Rattus norvegicus: one gene and its partners. The protein of the gene in region 3 interacts with the protein of the main gene of each other region in a pairwise test. Links are inferred from orthologs where the notes say so. Each region holds a gene or a part of one and is shown on either strand. Other genes may lie near its edges. The genes, in order: Nupr1, Prmt8 and Syncrip.

Region 1 (4,409 bases), on a different chromosome or scaffold from region 3:
AATAAAATGGACTTAGCACCTGCAACTTAGGGATGTTTACTCACAGAGCTATTGTGTGTGCAAGAAAGAACATTCTACCTTGTTCGTCTGAGTGAAATTACAGGAGCCCAAACTCAGCCCTCAGGCAACTCTACACTTGTATCCAATTGTCTTTTCATTTGCCCCACGTTCGCCTGGAATTCTGGTCCTGGCACCCACCAACCCACCCTGCTTAAGGAGAACTTTCTCTTCAGTTCACCAAGCACCCTGCCCTGGAAGCCAGCCTGTCATTCCATGCTTGGATTTGAGCCCTCAGTTGCTTAAAACAAATCCTTTGCATATTTTAAACCTCAGGTTGTTGGGGTTTTTTTGTCATTTTGCAAATAGTATTAATAGAAACATTCTCTTCAAAAAGCAGCTCTACATAATAGGACCTCATTGTGCTCAAGAATGGGGAAGGGACTGGCCAGTTTGTCTCTGGGGCAGTATTGCAAAGAAACCGCAATTTCCCCAGAAGAGACCATAGAAACAGGCACCTCAAAGCATCTGCATACATTAGGTAAGGCAACAATACTGGACAACTGGTCACAGCCCCCTAAGCTACACAGTAAGAAAACTCCCATCCAGATAGTCTCCTAAGAGAGATACACCATGGACACAGCAAGATACAATACACACAAACACAACAAAGACAGCACAACACACACACAAATGCTGTCACTGTTGTACAGTTTATTGTTACTGCCACCCAAGGGCATCCAGTTTTTCCCACTGTTCTTTTTGGGGGTGCCTTCTTAGCTCTGCCCATCTACCCTCTGCTTCTCGCTCCTAACTTGCCCTTTAGCTGGGTCCGGAAGGGCTTTTTTTGGTGTTCCCTCTCCAGAGCCTCACTTAGGTGGGAAAGAATCAAGCAGGCCTAGGTCCTGCTTACAACTCCTAATTTCTCCAAGGTCCTGTATCCATTGCTGGGTGTGGTGTCCGTGGTCTGGCCTCATCTGTGGAGAGGGAAAGCAGATGATGAAAGGGACAGAGATCAGAGTTTGAATTCCCACCTTCCTGCTCGTATTTTCTATAACTTTAGAGAAGTACTTGGCTCTCTCTGCCTCAGTCTCCCTTTCCATAAACCAAATTTCCCCTCCATTGGAAAGGCTCTCTGGGAAACTTTTCTCCCCTTTGGTTGCCAGGGAACTTCAGTCAAGTATGGGTCTCACATTGTTCTAGATGTAGATGACAGCACTATTTTTTCATTTACCGATTTGCTGATGTGTTTGCATGCATGTGGGCACATGTGTATTCTCCTGGGCAAGTGCTACTTTGTGGAGGTCGGAGGACATCGAGGGTACAGAGGTCCTTGTACTCACAGAGAAACACTAAGAACGAGAAATGTCGATCACACAGAGTGTCTCCTCAATGGAGGAGGCAAGTCAAATACTTGCATTCCATCTAGAAATCTGAGAGTGGACTTTTGTTAACAACCCAGTGACCTTTCTGCTCTGTGTGGAGTCAGACTTCCCCCCAGCTTTTGCTATAGAGGCAGACCTCACTCGAATTCTCCAGACTGATTATCCCAGACTCTTCCCTCCCTAGAGCATTCCCCGCTCTTAGGAGAGATGTCACATCTACCTGCTGAACTCCATGCTATTGGTAGAGACCACACTAGATCCTAGGTCCTTCAGCTGTACAGAACCCACCCTCAGGGTCACGTGTACTTTTAAATGAGCTTCCAAGTAGTCACACCTTACGCTTTACTGTGCTCCCGGAATTGGACTGATTGTTGCCTAGAAACCTCTTCCCAAGTTGAACTGTGTTTTAAATATGCTGACAATGAACCCTCCTGGCATCAGACACCCTGAAATCTGATCCAAGTTGATGGAAGTCAATCTGAATGGGGTTTTCATTCTTATCACTTCCCTGCCTGGGTATCTGCAGGGCCCCCTCAAGAACACAGCTTGCAGTTGTTCTCTCCCCTCTTTCATTATGCGGATCCCAGAGATCAATCAAGCATAGGTTGTCCTGCTTGGCTGCAAGTGCCTCCCTCACTGCCTCTCTGGCTCTTGACTCCTCACCTCCAGCTCTGTCTCAGCGCCAGGCCTTTTTCCTTTCAGAGTTCTGGAACTTGGTCAGCAGCTTCCTCTCATGCCCACCAGGGCTGGGGCGGTTGGTGTTGGCAGCAGCTTCTCTCTTGGTACGTCCTTTCCGACCTCCACCGACTGGTTGAGCAGGCGTTAGAGGAAACAGGGCAGAGGAGGTGTGTGAGGTTCAGGGGACAGGCAAATAAATAGCTGGGAGCTTAGGGGTGGGTAGGGCAGGATGGCCAGAATGTGATGGTCACCCTGTACATCTGAGGCACTCTACCCTAGCTGTTTACTCATGTCTAGAAGGAGAGACACTCACTTGTGAGTTCTTGGGGCTAAGGAAGACAAACTCAGTAGATGAGACTAGAAAGGGGGTACTTGGGAGTTGGGAATAGATTAGCTAATAGATTAGGTAAGATGGGGTTGGGGGTGAGAAGAGGGGAAGCTGACCAAGGAGCTGCCATGCAGACCTTACCGACATAAGATTGGGCCAGGCTGTACTGGTCATACTCATCCAGGATCCCATCTTCGTCCTCTATGTTTACAGGTTGCTGGGAAGTGTGGGCTGTTGGTGGCAAAGTGGCCATCATACCTGGTCTGCTTTCTCCAAAGTCTTGCCTGTTTTCCAAATGTCTGCCCTCTCCCAGTTCCCTCACCCCTACTTATAACGCTGTCTCCTCCTTAGACCATGGGGCTGGTTCCCGCCCTCCAAGCCCTGTCTGATGCAATCTGGCCTTTTTCCAGAACTGGGTCCATATACACCAGTCCTGAGCAGAGAGGAGCACCCTCCCCTTTCTCCTCCCTCACAGGACTCACCCAAGCCCAGCTGTGTTTTTCCACGTGGAAAGCTCCTGCCTCTGGGGGAGGAGGAAGCAGACAGGATCTGGGTACAAACAGTCTTTGGGATGTTGGCCAGAGAGAGCAGAGGGCCGCAGAACACACACACACACACACACACACACACACACACACACACACACACACATACACACACACATACACACACACATACACACACATACACACACATACACACATACACACATACACACATATACACACACACACTTACACATACACACACATACACACACATACACACACATACACACACATACACACACACATACATACACACACATACACACACACATACATACACACACATACACACACACAGAGTACATTGTACATTGTAGTCTGGTTCAGACTCAGGAGTTAGTGGCAGCATACCCACTGAAAAGGGAGGGAGGAGAGACACTGACCCACTTCTCGCTAAGTCAGCAGTTCCTGTCACAACCAAGGCTTCTATTTTTAAGGAAAGTCCCCTCACTTTACTTCAATAGAGTTCCCAGGGACTTCCTCCTCATCCAAGGTGGAGGATAGCTATCTGGTAGAGACAGCAAATACTCTGGATTCCACACTCTGATTCCTGATCCACCTCCCTCTGCCCTGCTTTCTGACAGAGGCCTTCTATGGAGCCCAGGTTAGCCCTTGAACTTGCAATTCTCCTGCCTCATCATACTAAACGCTGGAATTACAAATCAGCTCAGATCCAGTGTCTCCTGTGTGACCTTGGTCATGTTACTTTCCCTCTCTAGTTGCTTCAGTTTTCCCCTTTAACAGAGGATAACCCCATCTACCTCCATTGTGAGAGGCTGCAGGGACATGAGGCCTGGAAAAGCCTTCACAGCAGCTGGGAATGGTATAAGGATTAGTCATAATTTTCCATGGTTTCCCACACAGCCACACAGTGTTTTTGCTGTGACCAAAGGGGGGGGGGGAGATTTAAAATAAAATACTGTGGGCTGGCAAGATGACTCAATGGGTAAAGTACTTGCCGCCAAGCCTGGCAACCTGAGTTCATCGGTTTCCAGGACCCCAACAGTATGGGAGAGAAAAATCTCCCACAGAGTGTCCTCTGACCCTCCCATGCCCATTCACACACACACACACACACACACACACACACACACACACACACACACACACACACGATAACTGCATGTGACTTTTACATTCTAAATAATACATTGCTGTGGAGGGCATAATGAAATAAACAGGTGTTTGTGCTTTGACCCCCCTCTTTGTTTTAGTCAGAGTCTCACCTTTGAGCTGTGGCTGGCTTAGAACTTGCTCTGTAGAACAGCCTATGATGGTTCTCTTGTGGAGTTTGTGTCTAGTGTTGAGTTTAGATCAATCTGCCTCTACCCACTGAGTGCTGGGTTTAAAGGTGTGCATTACCACACCCAGTCAGTATGAATTCAAGTATGAATTAATATTAAACTTTTTCAGGGGGCTGGGGATTTAGCTCAGTGGTAGAGCGCTTACCTAGGAAGCGCAAGGCCCTGGGTT
Region 2 (4,226 bases), on a different chromosome or scaffold from region 3:
CTCTCCTCACCCAAGACCAGAGCTCCCACAGCTCTGTTTTGTAGTATCCACGACTTGCCTGACGGTCTTGTAAGGGTATAGGATCTTCAGGAAGGATGGAGTTAGAAGGCAAAGCTGTGACCACCTTGGGCATTGTAGGACAAATTGAGAGCTACACCTGGTACATAACTGACATCCAAAGCCCTTTGAACACATGGGTTTATATTTGCAGCACTGCAGATGGTATTAATCATATTCACCCCAGAGTGAAAAGTTCCCAGTAATCTACAAGCAGCGGGGCTGGCTGACACCCAGAATATTCCCAAGAGGAACTCATCCTCATAGTGACTCAAAGCTATGCCATCCTGGGTTATGGGTTGGGACTGAGGAGGAAGGAAAGCTTAATCGCAGATTCAGAGAACTGCAGACATCATTCAGAGCCTCATCTTCACGGTACAAGATGAGTACCACCCTGCTCATGCAGCATTCCAGATACAACCCGGCTGTTCTAGAGCACCAGAGCCAGGCAGCGTGTCTTTGCTGGTATCCCTCAGCTTACAGGCGGATACTTGAGCGCCAGTTCGTGTAGTAACACACCACCAGCTGCCATGGCTTAGCAGTTCCCTAATGTGGTTTTGTTAGAACTAATAGGTTGTAAGTGGGGTGTCCCTATGATTCAGCTTTCAATTAAGGATGTTTTGGCAAGCAAAACGGAGATCTAGGGATGATCTAGCACTGCATGAACAGACAGGAGTCATGTCAGCACACACAGAGGGATATCTGGTCACTCTTCACTATCTATCTCACCCATACGCCACCTCAGGGGATAAATGTCATAAGTCTATAAAGGATAGAGACAAGATGGTCTGCTCTATGCAGCTCACACTCCAAGGCTTTACGGTACTAACACAGGAGCACAGAGAGGAGGTTTGCTCGTGCTAGTTAGATAAGTTGCTGAGGGGGCTTCCAGCTCACCAGCTGACTCCTGGTGGCACCGGATTTTCAGGGTCACCATAACAACCTGTGGCAAAGAAGACTCTAGGACCAGGCCCTATCGTTCTTCCCACAACATCTACCCAGAAAAATGCAAAAGGAGACAGCCACGTTAGCTATGGGGGCAGTATTATGTCCTGCCGTGTCTTTCCCCTCTGTGTCCCACCTTCCCAGAATTACTGAATTAAAAATGCAGAGCAGGTCTAGGAGATCTAGGGATGACTGTGCTACATGAACAGACACGAACCATATTCACAGTCATAGAGCGAATACATGGTCACTCTTCCCTGTCTATCTCATCCATACAACACCCCAGGGGATAAATATCATGTCATAACTCTGCAAATGATGGGGATGGGATGCAAACCTTTAATTTCTTCTATTTCTAATGGACACGGTGGAAAACTCCGATGAGAAGCCCTGAGACAGACTGTAGCCACTGGCTCCAAGATGGAAACGTTTGGGGAGGCTCTTAATCTTTTGAAACAATGTTCCTTCCACCCAGGGATGGCATGCATGCTTTGGGGTCACTCACTGGAGGCAGACTGGCCTCACTGGCCAGCAGATCTTAGCCAGCGAGGCTTGGATCCTCAAAGTCCTCTCACTGGATGAGAGAGGAGGCAGTTTGAGTCCCCTTCACTGAAGGTCTTTAGGGACAGGAGAGACACCTGCCTGCGTGGGTGGAGGCGGAGATGGGGGCGAGGGTGCTGTCAGCCACACTCCCGGCATCCGCAGCCACAGCCAGAACTTGTCTTTTGACAGTTTATTTAGAGGTAATTGGCAGCAAGCGTGCTGAGAGCAGGTGGTCTGCCAACAGCAGCATGGCTTGCAGGCTGGGTGCTAGGTGGGCTTGAGGCCCAAGTCTCTGCAAGGCACAAGCTGTATGTGGTATCCCCTCCCCCCCAGATGCTCAGACTGCGTTGTCCTGTGACCTTGAATTCTTATTGATTTCCAAATGCACACACTGAGGGCTGCTCTGGTCTCTATCTGACCACTGACATTTGATCAAGGCAGCTCATTGCAAACAACAAGTGGGGAGAGGGGGAAGGCCTCTCTGCTGCCACTAAAATAGATCTTGGGGGTTTTCAGAAGGTCTTTGAGGTCACCCCGTCTGATTTGACGCGTGACAAGTGAACTCGCTCTCGGTGGTGTCCTCAACACCCAGGGAGGAACCAGTAACTCAGTTCCTAGGACTGTGAGGCAGCTCCAGTTCTTCCTGCAGCAACACTATGGGTTCTAGTAATTCCCAAAGCCACGCGTAAAGTGCATATAAATCTCCCGTGCCAAAGTCTTTGATGTGCTTGAAGGACACCCCTGGCCTTCCCAACTCTTCTTGCTGTGGGTGTTGGTTTTAAGCAAGAAGGAAAGTCCACTGGGGGAAGACAAAGGTCTAAGCCGAGAGGAGCTCACCATAAAGTGAGGTTTCTGCGGCCCACAGGTTTCAGTTGAGCATCTTTGGGCAAATCCCACATCGCAGGATGCTGGGCTTTGGCTTCTTGACACTGTTCTCTTGCCATAGACTCGGTGCTTCTAGGTTGGGTGTGGTGAGAGCTAAGCTTGCTAAGCAAGGCTGGTCTGACCCCACTCTTTAGGAGCCTGCAGAGGAGGTAAACAATTGAGGGGGGGGTGTTTACTCTGAAGCATGCCAGACACTGTGATGATGTCAACTCCGGATGCCCTTGGAGTGCAGGATTTAGGTTGGAGTGGTCCAGGAAGGCTGGCCTTGAAGGAGGAGGATGTTGTGAGTAGGAAAGGAAGAGCATTCTGGAGGCAGTCACTGCCCGAGAAAAGGGCTGCATCCCAGGAGACAGAACCCTCCCAGTTAGCTGGAGACTACATGGAGTTCAGTGATAAATACCACTGAGGAACACGCATTATGATGGCCTTGAACTATACAGGAGGGGTGATCTCTGGAGTGAGACTCCCCTGCTGCTTCTCTCTGGTACTATTGGGAAGGCAGGGCTAGAATCCTACACCAGGACTGGGCCAGGGTGCTGGGTACTGCAATGGGGCAGACTCACAGGCAAAGGAAGCTATTCGAAGGAGGGAGAGGGAAGAAGGAGGATGCTGGTAAAGCTGGGAAACTGGCTGAACTATAGAATTGCCATACATGATGTCATAAGTCTACAAAGACCATACAGACAGGATGGTCACCTCTGTTCACCTCACACTCTTGAGTCTTTACTAACACAGGAGCATGGGAAGGAGGTTTGCTTATGCCAATGAGGCTAGTTCCTGAGGAAGCTTCCAGCAAACCGACTGTCTCCCCTCTGGCCCCTCACTAAGATCATCAGTTCTGTCCGGCTGGGGCTGGGATGGGATGGTGGGCATTGGACTGAGTCAGGAGTTCTGGGTCTTGCTCCCGACTGCTTGAGTGTTGGGATCTGGGCAGAAATCAAGACCCATAGAAAGCTCAGGACCTCTGTGTGGGTCCTGGGCTTCAGCTGATTCTTGTTTATCTCTGACTCTCTCCTCTCTCTGTCTCTGCCTGTCTGTCTGTCTTTGTTTGTATGTATGTATGTATGTATGTATGTATGTATGTATGTATGTATGTATGTCTCTCTCATGTTCCTCTCCAGCCCCTGATGCCCCCTACACTCACTGGAAGCAGACTGTCTTCTACTTAGAAGACTACCTCACTGTTCGAAGAGGGGAGGAAATCTACGGGACCATATCCATGAAGCCAAATGCCAAAAATGTGGTGAGTCTAGGAACCCCCAAAACCCCCACATGGCCAGGGCCAAGGGAGACACAGCTGACTCCTAGGGTGCTCTCTGAAGTCACCCACCTAGTCTAATGGACAAACTTCTAGCAGAAGCAGGCAGCAGCTGTGTTTGCAGAGGACTAGGCCTAATTGGGTGACCTCAACTTTGACTCTTCCAAACTCCAATGGCTTTCTAGACTCTGAAGTTGACCTTGAGGACAGACAGCTCCTGGTAGCTCCCAGGACAGCCTTTGAGAATGGATGTTGTATAAATGGGTTCTGCTTCATTTAGGGTAAGCTGAGCCAGGAAAAGCAAGTGTCTGGTTTATTTCTCCAGCCAGCCTGGTAGAACCTTTCTGAGAAGCCCCTGTACCTGCACAGAGGCAGAGTGACTGAGGGTAATATCAAGGAAGATGCATGGACCTCAGTTATCACCTAGATAAAATCCCAGGGCTGCTTTCATGTGAGGACAGGAAGGTTAGCTGTCAGAGCCCTTCTTGTGAGGATAATGGGCACCAGAATGGATTCCTGAGGATTGGGCATGGAGGCC
Region 3 (4,947 bases):
GAGTCTGCTACTTTGGTCCCTTGTTTCTCTCTCTGCCTGTAAGTCTTCATGACTCCACATAAAAAGGCACTTTTGTTCTGTAAAGAAATTTCCAATTCATATTTAACATTAGTATGTTTATATCTAATAAATTTAAATGAACACATCAAAAATATTCATTTTTAATTCTTTCTACACTGACATTAAATTAACATACCTGAACATGAGAGAGATCACTGTCTTTGAACTGTTGAAGCACTGCCAATGCGCCGTCTTCATTGAACTCTTTTAAAGCTTCGATAGCTCTCTCATCTAAATCACTATGTGCAACTAGCCCTGGAGAAGAAAAAGTTTAGTGAGTTATCATCTTTTAAATTTTCTAAACTATTTCTTCAGAGTCCTGTATTTACCCATACAGGTACACATATGACAATGGTTCTACCTACCCTCCTTATCCTCCCCTCCTCTACATAATGAAACACCTACTTTAGCCATAAGTCCTCTCAACCACAGAAGGAGTCAACCTATTTTACATCCTGTTTTGTGTTCGAGTAGTCCTGAACACTCAATATTTCTACAGTAAATATATAAGCCTACAAATCCTAAAGTCAACCAACAAAACACCAAGCCTAACAACTGAACCTCTCCTCAATGTCAAGTACCACTAGAAAAAAGGAGCCACCACACCGAGAAAGACAAGAGAACTAGCCTAGAGTTACCAAGTTATTAAACAAGAATCATGCTATAAAAATACCTCAAAAAGTCACGTGGGCTGCTCTCAACATTCAGCAGCTGTTGCTACTATCATATACTTATCCATCAGGCCAGACAGCCTTCCCCTAGGGAGGTCTATCCCCTCATTTCATCCCTCCCTCTACACTCTACCTCAAACCTAAATTAACCAACTATCAGAACAAGGCCAAGCTCCAGTTCCCACGTTTATTGGAAACCACAAAAAGTTGCTATTTTAGCTCAAAGTCAGAAATCCAATAGAAAAATTTCATAATGTAATTTTGCAAGTGTTAGTTCTTACCTGCAACGTAAATTTCATCTAGTTTTTCAGCAACTTTCTGTGGTAAACCAGCATCAAGCAATGTCTGAAAATTTTCTGAATGGATAACTGCTGAAGTAGTATCCATGGGCTCTTCAGTACCATTTCCATTAACATGTTCTGTAGCCATGTTTCCAGAGATCTGTTCAAACGCAATAAGCAAAATTAAACTAGGATCTTCAAACAGAATAGAGGACAATGACAGTCCCAATCTTTACTTTCTCTTCCACTTGACTACAACCAGTCAGCCTGAGCCTCCCTTGAAAGAAACCTTAAAGTCACTATCGCCTGACAAGCCAGACTGTGGAGCCCGGGGTACAGAAGGACCGATTCACTATTTTCTTCCTGAGCACCACCCCTCACTTCACCTGCTAACTAACACTCACTGAGAAAAACCTTATTACAAATGAAGCCCAATCAGCACAGCGACCGGCCCAGCCTGCCACACGCAGCACTTCCAAAACGGAGAATAAGGTGTGTGAAGCAAGCAACGCTGGGCTTGTCTCTCTCCAAGGTAAACCAGAAAGTGCGCTTTTCCCGCCTGCCGCTTATAGATCAGTAACAACAGCCAGCGAAGAACAAAGCGCTCACACAAGCCACCTTCCCACCACCCAATTCCTCCACCCTTCACCCCCACACCCCAAAGCCCGCCCCCGACTCCGCACCCGGAGCGGCAGCAACGCCACTGCAGCCGCCAGGAGCCCATTAGAAACACGTGCTCTGCGCCTTCAAATGTCCTACAACTTCCTTCAACGGAAACCCACCGAGTACCAGGCCAAGACCGTCATGACCGCCTCCCAACATCAACCCGCAATCGGGGTCCGAGCCCCCCGAACACTGCAGCCGCACATCTCGCCCCTCAAAAGCGAGGCCGCGGCGGCGCCAGGCCACGGGCTCTCCCCGCCCCCCAGCGCCGCCGTCTCCGCCGTGACACATGGCTCTCCGCCCCGGGCGCTCCCGTGCGCCCGCGACCCCCAGCCTCCCGCACCCCTCGGTGCAGTGGCTGCGGCGCCGAGGCCGACAGCCCGCGCCGGGAGGGCGTTCCGCCGCCAAGCACACGCCCGCGGGAGCCGAGCACCGCCCAAGCCCGCCGGCCGGTCGCGGGACAGCACCCGCGCCTCTCCGCCCACTCCCGCGCCGCCGGCCACGACAGCACCAAGTCCGCCGCCGCTCGCGATCCGCTCGGGCCACGGGGCTGCCGAGGCGCCTCCTCCCGGAGCGCCGCAGACAAAGCCCAGACCCGGCAGCACATGGAGAGGAGGAAGTGGCGGCGCGACCGCGGCCTACTCTCTCGCAGCCCCGGCCAACGTGCTCTTCTCCCCCTTGGAATCCATTTTCCAGAAAAGCCGGTTTCTCCCCGCGCCGCCCTCCCCCAAGCACCCTCCAAAATGTCACGGAGCTCCCCCCTCCCCAACACCCGTGTGCCGGCCGTCGTTACCTCCCCGCGGGGCTGGGGCCGAGGAATCCTGTCCGACCGGGTCGGGTGGCGGGGAACGCGTGCTCGCTGCTCCCTGTGTCCGGCGCGAGTGGAGCTGTTGTAAAATGGCGGCCGAAGCTCACGCCGCTGGCAGCAAACCCGATCCAGTTCCACTCGCCTCCGAGCGCGCTCCCAGTGCGCGCGCGCGCCCCCGCGTGACCCCCCTTCCCTCCCCTCCCTGGCGCGTCCGCTTCTCTCACTCACTCCCTCAGCCCCTGCCCTCCTACAGCTCCTCCTTCTCCCCTTGCCACCTCTGCCGGCCGTGGGCCGCCCTGTCCTCTCGGTCTTCGTCCTTCCTTCCCTGCACCTCCTCCCCCAGCTTTCCCACTCCCGTCCGCGGCCGCTCAAGCACGAGTGGCCGCCCTTCTCCTCGCTGGCTCTCTGGCTCACGCCCTCCCTCGCTAGCTCTCTCGGCCCGTCCCCAGTCCCTGCCGAGTCGCTCTTTCTCTCTCCCGCGCTGACGTGACGACGCAGCCGACGCCTCAGGACGCGCGCCCGTGGGCCCCGCCTCTCGCCCCGCCCCTAGGTGCTGGTAGGGGGGGGAGAGACCCCGCCCTTCCGCCGCGGCGACCGTGAGGGGCCGAGTGAATGGGAGACCCGCCCTCTGTGCGGACACTCCCTCGCGCTCCGCGGGCGGGGCTGCCGGCTGGCTGTGTGTCCCACTCCTTCTTTGTCAGGAGACAAGCATCTCCCCACCCCGTCCTCCCCGCCCCCACCTCCCCACGGCGAGTCGGGGCTCCGAGGGTGCCCGGCGCTGGCTGACCGCTCTGCCCAGGCTGCCACCGCCGCCCCGCGCCCTGGGCGCTCGAGAAGCTGCAGGCGCACGTGTCCCCCGGGGCGGGGCGAGGCGAGGCAGACAATGGGGCTGCGGGGGAGGGGAGCTGCACGGGGGATGGCGGAACTCGGGGCCACCGGGTGGCGGGGCTCGAGTTCGGGAGTCACCCCGGGGAGCCCCGGCTTCCGCCGCTGGACAATGGGGCATCCCGCGGCCCGGCGCGCGCCGTCCTCGGCTTCCACGAATACCCTGGGCAAAGGGAGGGGCGCCGCGGGTTCGCGAGGAAATCCCAGTTCCTCCCACCCGGGGATGACACCGAGGCCAGATTTGGAAGCTTAACCGGCCCGGTGGTGTTGGATTGTGCAATATTCCGTTTCTGTCCCTGGCCTTTTAAGCGGTTAAGTGCTCCTCCTGGCACACTTTGAACAACTTGAAGCAGCAGAAAGCTGCGTGATTAGGACAACTATGAGGAAAATGTGTTTCTTTTCAAGCATCTTGGCAATTAAATGTTCTGTGAAGTGACATTTCCTTTGTAACCATTTACTAGGGACAAGAAAGACAAGACAAAGGCGTTTGTGTCTCAGGCGATATGGATACTAATTTTATGCAGAGCAGCTGTAATGTAAAATAACATCCTGTTTGCAAAAAAGAATACATACATATACATACATATATATACATACATATATTGAGAAAGCTACTGTTTCTAAAAAATCTAACATAGATTTATGCTGTAATAACAAGCCAGTAGTCCAAGGAAAGTTAAATAAACAGTACAAAGTGCCTAAATACATAAAATAGGGCTTTTTTTTTTCTGTTGACAAGTGGACCAAATAGGAAATATTTCTGAAGTACTGTCTACCCAAAATCTGTTTAATACGGCTCTGGCTATCCACCACCTAAATCCCTTACTACGAAACATATCCCTGCTATGGTATTTGATTAATTCAGCAAAATATTGTAGTTTGTACCCCAAAAGTCTGGATAATGATATCAATGAAAAACAACCAAAATGGTAATAGACGGTAGATTAAACAAGGGGAAAACTTTGACACAGTTCTTATTTAATGATCCCTGAATACAAGAGCTCCTTTAAAAGTGCTGCTCCCTAGGCAATGTCAAGAATTTTCCAATTGAAACCTCTCCTCTTCATCTCTGACCTAAATTCCTTTCATGTTTTGGACCTTTTTTTTTCCTTGCATGTTTTAAAAGATTTAATTATCTAAGTGTGTGTGTGTGTGTGTGTGTGTGTGTGTGTGTGTGTGTGTGTGTGTGTGTGAGAGAGAGAGAGAGAGAGCATGTGAGTATGAACATGGGAGTGAAGATGCCCACAGAGGCAATGGGTCCCACTGGAGCTAGAGTTACAAGCAGTTAGGAACCTCTGGACTTGGATGCTAGAAACCAAATTTGGGTCCTCTACAAGAGCAGTAAATCCCCCTCAACTGCTGAGGCACCTCTCCAGCCCCTGTACTTTTTTTTTTTTTTTTTTAAGGATTTCTGATACTTCTACATATGGAAAGAAAGAGATCCTTCCTTTAGCCTATAATCCCAGCAGGAGGAAGAGGCTAACCACAAGTTCAAGGACAGCACGCTGTGTGAAGAACAAAACAGCAACATCCTCAGAGTTGGTTACTCTTGACACACAATCATCCATTAGCACCCAAC

What was found.
Region 1: the proteins of Syncrip (region 3) and Nupr1 interact in a two-hybrid assay, tested with the Homo sapiens proteins (2 studies listed by BioGRID and IntAct). The link is inferred for Rattus norvegicus from reciprocal best matches to the Homo sapiens genes SYNCRIP and NUPR1.
Region 2: the proteins of Syncrip (region 3) and Prmt8 interact in binary tests that used the Homo sapiens proteins (3 or more experiments, as listed by UniProt). The link is inferred for Rattus norvegicus from reciprocal best matches to the Homo sapiens genes SYNCRIP and PRMT8.

What each region holds. Positions count from the first base shown.
Region 1 is NC_086019.1:190,643,175-190,647,583, forward strand, and holds Nupr1 (nuclear protein 1), read right to left. Parts: upstream 2,728-4,409; 5' UTR 2,642-2,727; coding exon 2,530-2,641; intron 2,190-2,529; coding exon 2,059-2,189; 3' UTR 2,046-2,058; intron 975-2,045; 3' UTR 692-974; downstream 1-691. UniProt on the Homo sapiens protein: Transcription regulator that converts stress signals into a program of gene expression that empowers cells with resistance to the stress induced by a change in their microenvironment.
Region 2 is NC_086022.1:162,223,016-162,227,241, reverse strand, and holds part of Prmt8 (protein arginine N-methyltransferase 8), read left to right. Parts: intron 1-3,551; coding exon 3,552-3,673; intron 3,674-4,226. UniProt on the Homo sapiens protein: S-adenosyl-L-methionine-dependent and membrane-associated arginine methyltransferase that can both catalyze the formation of omega-N monomethylarginine (MMA) and asymmetrical dimethylarginine (aDMA) in proteins such as NIFK, myelin basic protein, histone H4, H2A and H2A/H2B dimer.
Region 3 is NC_086026.1:98,312,412-98,317,358, forward strand, and holds the start of Syncrip (heterogeneous nuclear ribonucleoprotein Q), read right to left. Parts: upstream 2,976-4,947; 5' UTR 2,469-2,975; intron 1,173-2,468; 5' UTR 1,161-1,172; coding exon 1,013-1,160; intron 316-1,012; coding exon 197-315; intron 78-196; coding exon 1-77. UniProt on the Homo sapiens protein: Heterogenous nuclear ribonucleoprotein (hnRNP) implicated in mRNA processing mechanisms. Component of the CRD-mediated complex that promotes MYC mRNA stability.